Linked DNA regions of Alligator mississippiensis. The main gene of each other region encodes a partner of the protein of the gene in region 2 in a complex. Links are inferred from orthologs where the notes say so. Each region holds a gene or a part of one and is shown on either strand. Other genes may lie near its edges.

The links. Proteins that work in one complex are often made in the same cells at the same time.
Region 1: KAT2A (region 2) and TAF4 share a complex: the UniProt entries of both Homo sapiens proteins name them as parts of the TFTC-HAT complex. The link is inferred for Alligator mississippiensis from reciprocal best matches to the Homo sapiens genes KAT2A and TAF4.

Annotation. Positions count from the first base shown.
Region 1 is NC_081832.1:5,995,313-6,002,129, reverse strand, and holds the start of TAF4 (transcription initiation factor TFIID subunit 4), read right to left. Parts: upstream 3,015-6,817; 5' UTR 2,976-3,014; coding exon 2,651-2,975; intron 1,118-2,650; coding exon 8-1,117; intron 1-7. UniProt on the Homo sapiens protein: The TFIID basal transcription factor complex plays a major role in the initiation of RNA polymerase II (Pol II)-dependent transcription.
Region 2 is NC_081827.1:162,545,799-162,553,584, forward strand, and holds the start of KAT2A (histone acetyltransferase KAT2A), read left to right. Parts: upstream 1-4,781; 5' UTR 4,782-4,796; coding exon 4,797-5,027; intron 5,028-5,118; coding exon 5,119-5,242; intron 5,243-5,336; coding exon 5,337-5,482; intron 5,483-6,739; coding exon 6,740-6,829; intron 6,830-7,786. Other genes in the region: heat shock protein 30D-like, read left to right, coding at 1,889-2,584. UniProt on the Homo sapiens protein: Protein lysine acyltransferase that can act as a acetyltransferase, glutaryltransferase, succinyltransferase or malonyltransferase, depending on the context.

The DNA.
Region 1 (6,817 bases), on a different chromosome or scaffold from region 2:
TGCTTACCTGGTGGCAACTGAAAGTTCTGAATATTAGTTGGATTCTGAGGTGGCTGAGGCAGACGAGGTGCTAAAACTGTAGGAGTCAAAGTTGCTCTGATACCACTTGTCGTTGCTGCTGGAGTCCTTGGCAGATTTTGTGCCACTGTATTGGCAGTGCCCTTAGCCATCCCCGTAGGAGTACCAGGAGCTGCTGGAGGTATCCCACCAGGATTGGGGGCCACATTAGAGAGCCCAGCTTGCATAGTTTGCCCAATGATCATGTTACCCCCTGTAGTACTGGGCTGGCCACTAGCAGCCAGTGTCTGCTGTTGGGATACTGCCTGCACTATAGTTTTAGGAGACTCCGATTTGATGACCTGCGTGGTGGGGGCTGCCGGCACACTGGAACCAGGCTGGCTGTTCACAAGCGATGTCTGGAGGGCAACTCCAGATCCCACAGTGGCTGCAGCAACAGCAGGAAAATTCCCCACACTGATGGTTGAATTGATCACAGTATTGCTCCCATTCTGGGTGGCTGCAGCAGCTGCAGCAACCGTGGGTCCTGCTGTATGAATCGGTGGCCTCACCAGTGCTACAGTAGCCCCCCCGCTTCCAATGCTTGGTGGTGGCTGTGAGGAGATCACTGTGGGTGACGAAGAGGCAGAGGACACAGCAGTGCTGAGGAAAGAAGTCTGGATGACAGTGCTGGAAGCTGATGGCAAAACAGCATTAACAGTATTTGCTTTCCCCACCGATCCAGGTCCATTGTTAACTAGAGGGGCAACAGCAGGTGCAGAAGCAGGATTAGCAGTTGCAGGAGTCCCAGAGAAAGCAGCACTTCCGGAGTGGTGAGAGTTCATCACCACATTACTCCCATTCAAAGTTTGCACGGTTGTGGTCCCAATTTTGCCATTCCTGGTGGACAAGGAGGTTGCCATGGTGCTGATAACCACCGATTTGCCCTGACTGAGGGTCCCTGGAGCAGCAGTAACTTCAGATCCTCCTCCTCCTCCTGCAGCTGCTGCTGTAGCTGCTGCAGTGGTGGTGCTGGTGCTGGTCGTTGTGGCTCCATCCAGAGCTGAACTCTGGGACCTGGTGTTATGGTTAATAACACCCCCTTGCACTCCTCCAGCTCCTGCAACAACGAGAAGGAGGTTACAAGAAGAGAATGCGCAGGAGACAACAGAAGCATGGGAAGCATTCTCCCCCCAAGCAGCCTTTTTCCCCCACATGCTGCCTGCAATAAGAAACAGGGGTGAGCATATGCAGAGGAAGAAGAGCTACAAGCCAGTGAATCCCAAGGCCCCCTAGTCTCCCATTAGCAGCGTTATTAATTATAACGCCCACTTGCACCAAGAAGGGAAATCAGACGCCTGATAGGATACAATACAGACCATGACTGGGGAAATGTTTCTTTTCCTTCAACCTATTTCTCTTTCATTCTAGGGACTGACATTATGTCTAATAACTTCAGATCCTGCAACTATAAGGGGGAAAAAAAACTGAAGGCGAGACAGAGAGCCTGGGAAATCCATTAATAAGGTGTATTCCCCATGCCTTGTACACCTGATGTGGGCTACCCTCCTCATCCTATCAGCTGCCAGACTGGCAGCTAGTTGCTGGAGCATCTAGTTCAACTACTGCAAGAAGAGGAGGTGGGGACGAGAGAACCGACAGCCTGACAAGGGGAAAGCTCTTAGGAGAAAGAGCGGACGGGATCTGCTCTTTATGGTTACGGGAACCCGAGAACCAAAACCATAACAATAAAGTAAAATCGTAAAGAAGAGAAGGTAGATGCTGGCACTGAGAAGGACCATTATGATGCAGCTTCTTGCCCCCAGAGCTCTTCATGCCCCTTGGCAAGGCCTGGTATTATGACTAACCCCAGCTTAGATACTTCAGGTCCTGCATTAAAAAGAGAGAGAAATGGGAACGGGGCAGTCACTGACAGATACACTAAGAGGCGCATCGTATGGGGGACCCTCCCCCGCAATCCCCGCTGCTTTGATTTAATAGCAACGACCTCTTAGCAGAAGGAAAAAACACACACACACACACACACAAAAAAGAGGGGGGTGGGGGTGGTGAGGAGGCGACAAGAAGCACAAGACAACATTTTCCCTCCCTCAAAAAAAAAAAAAACAACATCTTACACGCCACCATCCCCCACCAACGGAGACCTCGCGTCGTGACGAACACCGACCCCCCCCTCCACCCCCCAGTCCCAAAGCCGGCGGGAAGGCGAGGAAGGTGGGGTGCACCCCCCCCCATTGCCACCACCACCACCTCCACGCCGGGACCTGACGTTGCAAGAACACCCTCTTGAGGGGAAAGGAGGAATGAGAGGTGTCGAATGCCCCCCTCCAGGCTCCTGCGAGAAGAGGCGGGCGACGGGGGGACACCCAGACAGATGCAGATGGTGCGTGGGGGGGGTGGGGGGGGACACCCTCCTCCTTGAACCCCCCCACCCGGCTTCCTCCCATACAGGAAATAGGTGTCATGATTAATAACCCCCCCTGGCACTCCAGCAGCCGGGGGGAGCGCTGGAGTGCGAGGGGGGCCGGCAGGAGGCTCCCCCCGCTGCCACCCCCGGGGGGGGGCCTGAAAAGTGGGGGGGTCCCCCTGCCAGAGCCCTCAGGGGCAGGGGGGAAGCCCTGTCCCTCCCTACCTGCTTTGGGGACCTCGGGGGCGCTGAGCCCCATCTTGCCTCCGCCCTCGCTGTGGACATGGGCGCCGCCGCCGCCGCCGCCTCCTGCTCCCGCTCCCGCCGGGCTGGGGCTCGGGCTGCTGCCGCCGCTGCCGCTGCCGCTCACAACATGGTTCCCCAGCAGCCCCCCGGCGGCCCGCAGCGGCTCCTGCGCCTTGTGGGGCGGGTGGTGGTGGGCGGAGGCCGCCAGCTGCGACTCCAGGGAGCCCACCAGGTCGCTCACCACCTTCTCGTCCACCTCCGTGTTCAGGAAAACCTCATCCAGCAGATCCGAGCCCGCCGCCATCTTTTTTTTGGAGGGTTCCTGTGCGCTGGGCGCCCTCCCCCCTCCCCTCACACTCCTCCCCTGACCCGCCCCGCCCCTCCCCTCCCCCCGCGCGCGCCGCCCGGCCCCGCCCCCCGCGCCCCCTGCGCAGGCGCGCCCGCCGGGATTCCGCCGCGCGCTCATTGGCCCGCCCGCGCCTATAAAAGGCCGCGCAAATGGCTGCGGGGGTTTAGTCGGGAGCCGGGCGGCGGCGGCCCGGCGGGAGCTGGAGGGGGCGGGAGGGAGGGGGGCGCGGTGGCGGGGAGGGAAGGAGGGAGGGTGGGGGGTGCTCTTTGTCTGGCCGAGCCCAAAATGGCTGCGAGGCTGAAGGGCGCCGCACCTGTGAGGAAAGGAGGGGTGAAGAGAAGCCCGGCGCTGAGAGGAGGGCAGCTCCGGAGTGACTCCGGATCCGCGACAAGGCCGCTTCTGCAACCTAACAATAGGGCCCGGGAGGGAGGGATGCTGGGGTTGCCTCCAATCTCCCTCTAGTTCAAGCGGGAGCTCAATCCAGCCTTTCCATGCACAAATTTTTTTTGGGGGGGGGGGGTGTTGTGAAGTGGCCCACAGGCTGATGCTGTCTTTTGGGAGGAGCGAATGGGTCCTTCCAGGCTGGATGCGGTGCTGGGGGTGGGGGTAGCTAGAAGGAGACCGGAGGCAAGTCGAGAGCAGCTGCTTTTTTTTTTTTTTTTTTTTTTTGCGCTTGTAAGTCTGGATTGAAACCCCTGAAAAAAAAAAAAAATGGCCCACAGAGGAATATTTAAAGAAAGCATCAGCCTTTTGGGAGGAGCAAACGCTGCCAGCGCCTTGTCCAAATGGATGCTTCTAGGCTGCAGAGGCAAAGGGATGTGTTGCAACAGTTTCCCCCCTCCCCAATAATACCTTTTAGCTTATTTAAAGCAGACAGATGGAGCCTGGCCTGCTGGTCGTGGCCCAAAGGTGGTATGGACAAGTCTTGTGTTGGCCTCTGCAACATTGCTTAGCTTGGACTCTGGTTTGCTGAAGTTCAGCACTCAGTGTTTAGGAGTTGGTGGGAGAAGAGATGAGAGAGACAGGAAAAAGAAAAAGTCTTCCCTTAAACATCTACTGGACAGTCTACCACAGAGTCAAGCCACCTATTGACACCGGTGGAAAAGAGGGGAAGGAGGTGGGAGTCAACAGCTTTAGGGAAATGGTCTCTCAGGTCAATACATTACCACTAATATTGGTCTTAGGACTCTAATCATCATTCATCACCGACACTGCTAGCAGCATCTATGGGCAGTCCCTGAAACACACTGGTTACTGCCAATGCTGCCAGCGGCATCTGCAGGTGGTTGCCAACCACTGGTTGGTGCTCCCCACCACCACCCACCCCAGAGGGGGCCACCTGCAGGTGGTCTGTGCCCTCCGCCCCCGAGTCTCCAGGGACACACAGCACTCATGCAAAATATAACCCATGTATTCCTAATATTTTAATATGCATCCTAATATTGCTGCTCGTCTAGTTCCAAACTCTCTTTTCCCCTGTTAATAAAGCTGGAGACAGTTTATTCTTCTCTCCCATGAAGAGTTTTGCACTATGAATGAGAATCGGAGCAATTGGCCTTTCTTGAAATTCTTATCGCCTCAAAACAAGTCATTAAAACTTGAAGCAGTTGCCTCCCTCCTCCCAACATTTAAAACCTTATTAAATCCCCGTGTCTAAATTCCCCTTGTGTAACCAACATGTTCAGCCATTATAACTATCCTTTATCCTTGTTTTCATTCATTACTGTTACAAGCTTTCCTCAGTTATCCTGCTCAGCACCTGGTAGAAAGCAGCAAGGAAAAGGACCTGTTTCTAATTACAGGGTTCTCAACTTGCACTTTTTGTCAATACTAGTTGAACTACACTAGTGCAGCTGCTGTATCCTACACACACATCCCATGAAGCCTTGTTGCCCAGCTCCTGAAATGCAGGACCACCACTTCTACAGCTCATGTCACTTCTCTCCCATGCTGCTGCCTTTATCCTCAGTTAAGTTCTGTCAACTTTAGTGACTCCAAGAGAAGGCTATCTGTCCATGCATAACTGAACAATAACAGGATAGCAATTCACAGGCTGCACCAACTGCCAAAATGACTCCTCAAGGACAAATTCTTCCAGATGAAAGCCAGAACAGTCCTGATTAGCCCTAGGATGACAAAGATGACCAAAAGTCACTTTTTCTGCTCCTTTAGCTGCTTGGGCTGCATTTGGCTACACATGCACCATGGATTAGAATGACAGAGGGGCACAGCAAGAGAGAAGAGCTCATGTGAAGGAAGAACTAAACACAGCAATAGGGACAGAGGGAATGACTAAAGGACAAGAGGGTCACAGCTGGACAAAAAAAGAGCAGAAGAGATTAAGAAGTTCAAAAGGTAGGAGATGGTCATGTTGGGGGAGAATTAGCAGAACTCTTGGACAGAGAGAACCTTCATTGTGAGCCAGACCATACAATGATTAAGATTGCTATGATTCATTTCCAAATGTTTGTAGTATTAATACTTCTTACCGTATCATATGGAACATCTACTATACTAGCTAGCTGCCATACAACATTTCAATAAAAACTAATGAAACTCTGTCTAACATGTACATTAATAAAAAGAGTCATACATATAAACACCCATCTTTCCCCTAGTCAGTAGTCTCAACTGCCATGCCTTTGATGTTAACATTAGTGGGGGGGAGGCTGCACAGAGGGTGAAACATGCTTTTGTAGAGGTGGGCCCCGTCTGGTCCAAGGCTCCCTCATGGCCTTGTCCTGATTTTACTCTCCCTCAGCCCTCTAGCTTGGGGCCCACCATTCAGAGCTGCAAGTTCCTGGGTCAGCTCTGGTCACAACCCACAACCTCAGGTTCCAGCCTCTGCAATCCACTATGTAGGCGCTAGGGGCCTGGCATCCCGTTTTTCCCCTGCCACCTCCTGCCTTATAGTCCAGACAATCTTGGCCTCCTATGGCCACCAAACATACTTTAAACATTCATCTTTACAGTCCAGGCAAGCTTGGCCTCATTCAGCCACAGAACACACTCTAGTCCTTGTCCTCTGTCAACTCAGTGCAAATTCAGGGTCCCCCAGTCCCTCCCCCCCCCCCCACAACCCAGTCCTCGGGGACAGGGTAGGGAAGGAGGGAGAGGAATGAAAACCACAAAATGCAAGCACCAGTCCCAGTTCAAAAGAACGCCCCACACGGAATCGCCCCACCTCTTGGTGGCAGGCTCCAAGTAGAAAAGAAAGCAAAACAGGAAGTCCCAGTGGTACTTAGCTTTCTTTCTATGCAGGCTCCCAGCTTCTCTTCACTCAGCGCTGCCCCCCCCCCCCCCCCCCCAAGTCCTCTCTCCAGAGTCTGGGCTCCAGTCTCCACACCTCCCAGGGAAGGCTCCATCCCGGATGGCTTCCACAGCTGGCCTGAAGCTTGGGCTTATATAGGGCTCCCTGGGTCACATGGCCCCTCTACTTCCCCTCCTGGGATCACTGGCAGGGATCCTGGTTTTCCCTGTTTAAAAATGGCAAATTCTCCGATTAAAATGCACTTGCAAATTCTCCGATTAAAAACCCTAAAATCCATGTTTTCCCATGATTAATAGGAAATGCCGCTATATATAGGTATCAGTAGAACACAATGATTTATTGATATATTTACAGCTTTTAAGCAATTTCGAAGCCTTCCAGTACCTCAGTCACTACAATAAAATAAATTCTAAATGCCTATAAAGTTTGGCATTTGATTTTAGGTTTTTTAACTGTGAAAAAAAAATCAGAGCTTCCCCTACCTCTTTTGCTCACCAGGACATGGGTCCAGCAGTGACCATCCCTC
Region 2 (7,786 bases):
GCCACCCATCACCTCTACCTGCTGTTGCCAAACAAACTGCTCTGGGTGCTTGGAAAGCTCTTCCCTGGGGAAAGCAGAGTGGGCCTGCACTATAGAGCCTGTGCTGCTGAAATCCCCTCAAGCGCCTGCTGTTCATAAACCAGCCCCTGTCCCTGACTGGCCTAAGCTCAACCAACTTTGTCATCTTCCTCTAAATAGGGAGCTGTGCTGTAAAGCCAAGGAACAAATGCAGGGTAGGAAGAGGGGACTAGGCAACATGATTCCTTTTTAACCATGGCATCTCTAGAGTTGACATTAGATAACATGTTTTCTACCCAGGGGATTTTTTACAACAAAAGCTCTGAAAGGACAGTGATAACAAGGGCAGGGTGGGAGTAGGGTGTGAGGCACTGGGCAAGGGCTTTTTAAGCAAAGAGACTTAAGAAGAGATTATCCACATGCTGACTGTCCCTTGCTCCATCTGCTTCATGACACACACAGAGTTTGCCTGTGCTGCTTGAGGCACACATGCTGCAGGTTGGCCACCCCATCCTAAACTGATAAACCCTTAGCAAGTGAGTAGCTCCACAGCAATCCAGTGGATCACTCGTGTGACTCAGACTCAGAGGCCTGGGCCCAGTTGCTGGAAGGGGTTGCTCCCAGGCTAGAAAATTTACTTTGAAAGTGTATGCAAATATAGACTGACAAAATACAGGGCCTGAGGTTGCCAGACAGTGTGTGGTGATGCTCAGGCCTCAGGGGACAGGTTTTAAAGGTCACTGCAACTGCATCTTCCACTGTTCCCTGTTTGGAAATTTAAAAAAAAGTTTCTAATCAATTCACTACCAACTGGAATGTGGGAAACGCGGGTTTATTTCCACCAACTACACACAAACAACACATTCAGAAAGATCACCATCACCTGGCTAAGATATATGTCACCAGGCAACATAGCAATATTGAAACCAAAAGCCCCGTTCCTCTCCAGGTTGGGCACAGGTATAAGAGTTCTGTCCAGAGTCCAACATAGCCAAGACTAAACCGGTCACTGCTGCAGGAGGGACTCCTAGGTATGATGTCCTTGGATGGGATAACCGGACTGGGGCAGGGATACACCCCAGAAATGGCTGTAGACTCTGGGTGAGGGCAGTGTGCTTGCCATCACCCCTTCTGGCTGGATCAGAACTCCTAGCTGCTGCTTCCCACCTCCCTTCCTAGCTTCTCCTCCTTGGCAGCAGGGTCTGTTTGTGTGGCTCCCTCTCCCCACTGGATGCTGCTGGGAATGGCTTTTCCTTCTGCGGGCTGCAGAGCCAGGCGTGTTGCTTCAATGTGGAGTTGTGCATCAAAGCACAGAGAGCAGGTAATGGCATCCAGGTCTAGGCCTGCGGTCAGGAGCATTTCCCTGTGCATCTCCCGGTACTCCCAGAAGCTGTCTCCATCCTCTCCAGGGCTCTGCTTCTCATGGCTCCCCATCACTGTCACCTTCCTGCCCTCCTGCCTTACTGTCAGGTCCTCTGGAGAGAAGCCAGGCACGTCCAGATGCAGATCAAACTTCTTGTCCTGCCAACCCTTAGACTTGGGCTCCTGCTCTGTGGCCCCAGCCAGAACTGCTCCATTCACCCTGCAGCCCATCCCCACACTGTGCACCCAGAGGGGTGAGGCACCTTCCAGCAAAGCCCAGCCCTACCACATAGCCAGCCTGATCCATCATTCACGAGTCAGGGCCAGGGCCCTCCCACCAAGGCCAGATACGGCCGGAGGAGGCAGGCTCAGCCCAGATATGAGCAGGAGGAGGAAAGTTCAGGAAGTGCCTGGAAGTGCCACGCGGGTACAAAAGGCAGCCCAGCAGGCAGCAGAGGCAGTGCTCAGCTGAGCAATGCAAGGCAGCGTGCGTGGCAGGAGCAGAGCCATGGCACGCTACTCCCGGCGCCTGGTGCGGCTGCTCCCTGTGTGGCAGTGGCCATCGCGAGGCTGGTGGCCCATGTGTGTCTGCAGCAGCAAGGGGATGAGCAGCCTCCTGCAGCCATCGCCAGCCAGCATCTTTGAACAGATGGCGAGTGACCTGCAGCAGCAGGTGGAGGCGAAGGACAGGCTGAGCCGTGCTGTCTTCCAGGCCCAGCCGCTCCTGTGGTTGGAGCCTGCGGGCCAAGGGGAGCTGAGGCAGGATGGAGGGGCCCAGGCTGGGGCTACAGAGCAGGAGCCGGAGTCTGGGGGTCGGCAGGACAAGAAGTTTGAGCTGCACATGGACGTGGCCGGCTTCTCCCCGGAGGAGCTGACAGTGAGGCAGGAGGGCAGGAGGGTGACGGTGACAGGGAGGCGTGAGAAGCAGAGTGCTGGAGAAGATGGAGGCAGCTTCCAGGAGTACCTGGAGCTGCGCAGGGAAATGCTGCTGTCCACGGGCCTGGACGTGGAGGCTGTGACCTGCTCCCTGTGCTCAGATGGACAGCTCCGCATTGAGGCACCGTGCCTGGCCCTGCAGCCTGCAGAGGGGAAAGCCACTCCCATCAGCATCCAGGCGGGAGAGGGAGCCACACAAGGAGACACTACCGCCAAGGAGGAGAAGGCGCTGGGAAGGGAGGTGGGGAGTGGTAGCCAGGAAACCTGATCCAGGCCGAGGGAATGATGGCAAGCCTGCTGCCCTGGCCCAGAGACTGCAGCACGCCTGTGGTGCATCACAGCCCCGCAATCATACCTAGGTGTCCCTCCTACTGCAGTGACTAGGGGCTGTGCAGAGTCTGTAGCCACCTTGGTTTCTGGAGAAAGCTATACATGTCACCAATCTGGAGAGGGATGGGGCTTTGGGTTTCAGTACCACTTTATTGCCAGGTGACAATTATTCGGCTGACTGTATTGCTTATGTGTCATGATGGAAATAAACCTGTTTCCCACATGCCAGTTGTCTGTGGATTCAATGGAAATTGTTTCTTGTCCAATTGCCCAGCTCATTGTTGAGGAGGAGGAAAGTGTCAGTGCTTTGTGTGTAAAAATCACTGATTGAAGAGCATAGTATGGAAAGGATAGAATTACATCTGGTGCAGACGTACCGCGTGTCTTAAGCCAGTGTAGTCAACCTTTACAGCACCATAAGGAAGGAGCAGATAGGCAGCATAAACCTCTCTGGGGTATTGTTGCCTCAGAAAAAATGTGTAGGAGATCATCCGACCCCATCTGTCCTGGTGTAGTTGTTTTTTTCCAAGGCCAACAGGTGTGCTCCTGCCACTGTGGCAAGGCTGTGGAATGGTGCACACTGTGTGTACTCCAGCTTATACTCCAACAGTCTCTTTTTTCTGCAGGGCAGTTGATACGAAAGGTGGAGTAAACACATGCTTTTTGCCCATGCACAAGACTGTCTCCGGGCACATCCAGGTCCTGCTTGGGATTCTTGATTCTGGAGCGGATGTTCTTGCTCAGAAATACCCCACAGGCCTGCAAGGGCAGCAGCTGCCATTGATCTCTGCCTCTCACCTTCAGGCCAGGCAGACGGCAGACAGGAGTTATTTACATTGCTGCACATAACCGCTTTACACCACATTAGTATACATGTCATAGGTCTGGGTCCTTCAATGTTAGATTACTATTTGTAGGTGAGTGTCCCTACGGTCTTGGAAACTAAATCTGACCTAGGATTTGGACTTCTGGAGGAGACAGTTTTGAAGGCTGGGAGATATTGAACCATGTTGTAAAAGTGTAACAGTCAGGACTTGTGAAGAGAGGTCCTAAGAAGAGGTGTCCTATACAAAATGGTTTGTAAGGCAATCGTTGAGAGAAGAAGGGAGGGATGTCAGCACCCACCCTAGCAATGTCTTCCTGATCGACAAATTCCTGACACCCAGGAGCCTGTCCTTTCTTCCCCTGTTGTCAGCGATTATGTTGCAAGGCTTGTGCTTGTCTTCATGGCCCAGCTGCTAGGATGAGGGTGTTTTTAGCTTTCATGAAAAACAAAAAATGTTTCTAGCCTCAAAGATACAGACAAAAGCTGGAAACGTGGCCTCTAAGGCCCCAAGCAGGGGCTAATGGCCTTCTGAAATTCTCAGCTGGGGGAGCCCATTGTAGGGGGCCACAATGGGGACGGTGTTAGGTCAGAGCAGGGGCACTCAAGTCCTGGCCTGGTGCGAGGCAACAAGCCCGATTCAGCCTGTGCAGGGCTGCAGCTGCAGCAGCAGGGCCCAACCTGGCACAGGCAGGGCTGGGAGTGGGAAACGGCCGCAGCTGGCACGCACGGGGCTCCATTCAACCTGGGCCCTTGGTTACACTGTGGGCCCACGGCCTGGATTTGGCCTGCAGACAGACACATCTGCACCACTCATCTGGCCCGCAGGGCCAAAAGCTCCGTCACCCTGGGTTGGCACTGCTGGTTTTGTTTAGGGTCCGGCCAACCCCTCTAGACTCGAGGCAGCCCTCGGAAACCGCCAGCTCCCGGCTCTCGCTCCTTGGACAACAGAAACAAGCGTGTGCCACTCATGGTGGCTGCGAGCGCCGCCGGGCAGACGCCCTCTTTAAGCGCGGCAGAGTCAGGGTGGACAGCACAGGGCACGTCCCTGTTTTCTGCTCCTTTGTCCCCTATTCATGCGGCACCCGACGCTTCTAGTCCTCTATTTTTCTCTTCAAACAGAGGACGTCAAGGCGTCCGGTTCCGTCTCAACAGAGAACGACCAAGCTGTCCTCTCTGACGGCCACCTCAGCGGGGTGTGGCGCGGTGCGAGCCCACGTGCAAGGACCGGCTTCCGGGCGGCCCCCGGGGCGGGCGGCGAAACTACAGCTCCCAGCAGGGGCCGCGCAGGCGCGGGGCGGCGCAGCGGGGCCGGGTGGGAGCCGGCATGGCGGAGCCGGAGGCCGCGCAGCCCGGGCGGACCACGCAGCCCCCCGCGGCGTCGACGGCGGCAGGAGCGGGCCCCGCGGGGGCGGGCGCGGGCGGCGCCGCGGGCTCCAGCGACCCGGCGCGGCCGGGCCTGAGCCAGCAGCAGCGGGCCAGCCAGCGCAAGGCGCAGGTGCGCGGCTTCCCCCGCGCCAAGAAGCTGGAGAAGCTGGGGGTCTTCTCCGCCTGCAAGGTACCGGGCCCGGCAGCACCCCCGCCCCGCCCCGCCCCGGCCCCGAGCCCGGCCCCGGCCCCCCTCACGCTCTCTTGCCGCCCCCGCGCAGGCCAACGACGCCTGCAAGTGCAATGGGTGGAAGAACCCCAACCCGCCCACGGCGCCCCGCATGGACCTGCAGCAGCCCGTGGCCAACCTGAGCGAGCCCTGCCGGAGCTGCGGGCACGCCCTGGGTAAGACCGGGGCAGGGGTGGAGGAGCGGGGCGACGGGGTGGCTGCGTGCGGCCGCTGGTGCTGACCCGCCGGCCCTTTGCTGCGGCCCCGCAGCTGACCATGTGTCCCACCTGGAGAATGTCTCAGAGGAGGAGATCAACCGGCTGCTGGGCATGGTGGTGGACGTGGAAAACCTCTTTATGTCGGTCCACAAAGAGGAGGACACGGACACCAAGCAAGTGTACTTCTACCTGTTCAAGGTGCGTTGCTCAGGGCTGTGCCCCGGGGTCCCGCTCTGCAGGGTGCCGTGCCTTGTGGAGGTGCCTCAGGGTCCCTGCTTTGCTGCCAGGTGACGTGCAAGCTAGTGCTGGTGGCCAGCTGGGCTGTGTGGTCACGTCCCCCCGATTCAGCAGCAGTGTTTAGCCCTACCACATGGCATTGGTGCTCCTGAAGCTTATGGAAAGCAGCTGGTAGGGAGCTTCCCCCCGTCTCCCCCATTGGATGCCTTTGGGGTGTTAAGAACCCACGTGCTATGATCTCTCCCCAAACTCTGTCCCAGCGCTGGGCTTGGCTAACTCCCCCCTGCAAGGTTTTGATTTCATGTGGAGCTGCTAGGGGTCGTACACAGTTAAGGTTTTCAGCCTGCAGTATGCTAGGCCGTTCCCAGTCTGACATGGTGGCCCTTTGATGCTGTTCTGCTAGACAGACCTTTCACCAAGAGTCAGATCTGTGTGTCTGCATGCTGTTGGGGTTCTGGTTTTGCTGGACCCAATGTCTTGATAGGCCAGCTCTTCAGGGAGCGTGCTGCAGAAGTCTGTTCTGGGATCTAGGCTCAGTGGGGGATTCATTTGTTAGGTGCCTGCAGACCTGTTCAATCAGCCCAGCAGCAAGGTGGTTCTTTGGAAACTGCACAGAAGGTCTGAGCCAAGGCCTGTGGGGAGAATTATCTTCAAAGGAAGAACCGGGCATGCTTTGCCTCAGGCCTGGCCAGATCCACAGCTGGCTGCACTGAAGACAGTGCCCAGGCCATGTGGCCCCCTCGACGCACTCTCACAGGGGCCCCAGTTTAGGATCCCCAGGATATAGAGGGCCCCCTCCTGCATGTCACACCACTGACCACTGGGATGTTCCCCGCTGTTTTTACCTGAAGTCCAGCGGGACCTAGAGCTGGTTGGCAGAGGCAGGGGTGCAGTGGGATCTATCTGCCGCTGCTGCCCCCCCCCTCCCCCTTGGTGCTGTGGCTCTGGAGGGGTAGGCCTGCATGGGGCAAGGAAGGGGCTTCGCATCTGGGTGCTACCCTGGGGCAGGGGCTGCCCTCCTACCTTTGCAGACAGGCACCTGCAGGCTCCAGGCAGGGGCCAGCCAGGCCCTGGAGCACATGGGAGCTGCCCTCAGTGCTGGGGCTGCCTGGTCTCTGGCTTGTTCCTCCTGGTCTTGCTGGAACCCCTTTCTGCAGCTGGCTAACCCCTGCCCTTGCTCTGCCTTCGGTGGTGTAACAGCCTCCTTGTGTCTCGCAGCTCCTGAGAAAGTGCATCCTGCAAATGAGCCGTCCGGTGGTGGAAGGGTCCCTTGGGAGCCCACCCTTTGAGAAGCCCAATATTGAGCAGGTAACACGAGCGCTCCACAGCGGGCATTGGTTGTCACAACAACCTCTTCTGCTGTATCAATTCCCTAGTGTGTCTGCGCCCAGGGCCTCCCAGGATGGGGGTGCTGCTGCCACTGCCTCCTGTGCCTGCTGTTTTATATCATGGTCTTCAGCCTCCTTCCTCCTTTTTCTCCTACCCCTTGTAAAACTAGAAGAGCTTCCTTGCAGCTCAGTGCTGCTTCTCCCAGATAGAGGTTCTCCTGGGCTCTTCAAAAGCAAACCAGGCTGCATTTTGGTGCAACAGTGTGCCAGAGGGTCTCTGTGCTTGGAGGCAGGGATGTGATGGAGATGCATGGAGCTGGGCAGCTGCTGGGCTGCGGTCCTCTCTTCTGACTCCACACCTGCTGCGTGCAGCTTTGTCCATGCTTCTCCCACCCTGCTCTGCCCTGCCCATCTCTTTCCTTAGCTCTCTGGCTGTGATGACAACATCACATCCAGTAATTGGATGCAAGTTGCCTGCCCCTGTGTTCTGCTATTGGGCCCCTCTCAGACCTGACCAGCAGTCCTATGGGTATCTCTCTCTTTATGCAGAGTTGCCAGATCTGCCAGCCTATGGGCAGACTTCTGCAGCATGATGTTACTTCATTCCTGCCCTGCCCCAACCCACTTACTGCCTGAAGCAAAGCTGAACCCCAGTCTCTGTTGATGGTTGCAGCTATTCTGTGCTGCCTCTCTGGACTCTCTGGCCCTCCTGGTCCGTTAATGTTACCCTCTGCACCCTCACCATCCCTTGGTCATAGGACCATAGAAAAGTGGGCCCTCAGGAGGTTGTCTAGCTCTGCCTACTGCTCAAGGCAGGATCATCCCTATCTAAACTGTTCTATACAAGTGCTTGTCTAAGCTTTTCGTAAAGCCATGCCAACAACCCTGTTGCACAGCTGCAAGGCACTTTGTGTGGAGCCATCTTAGGACTGACCAT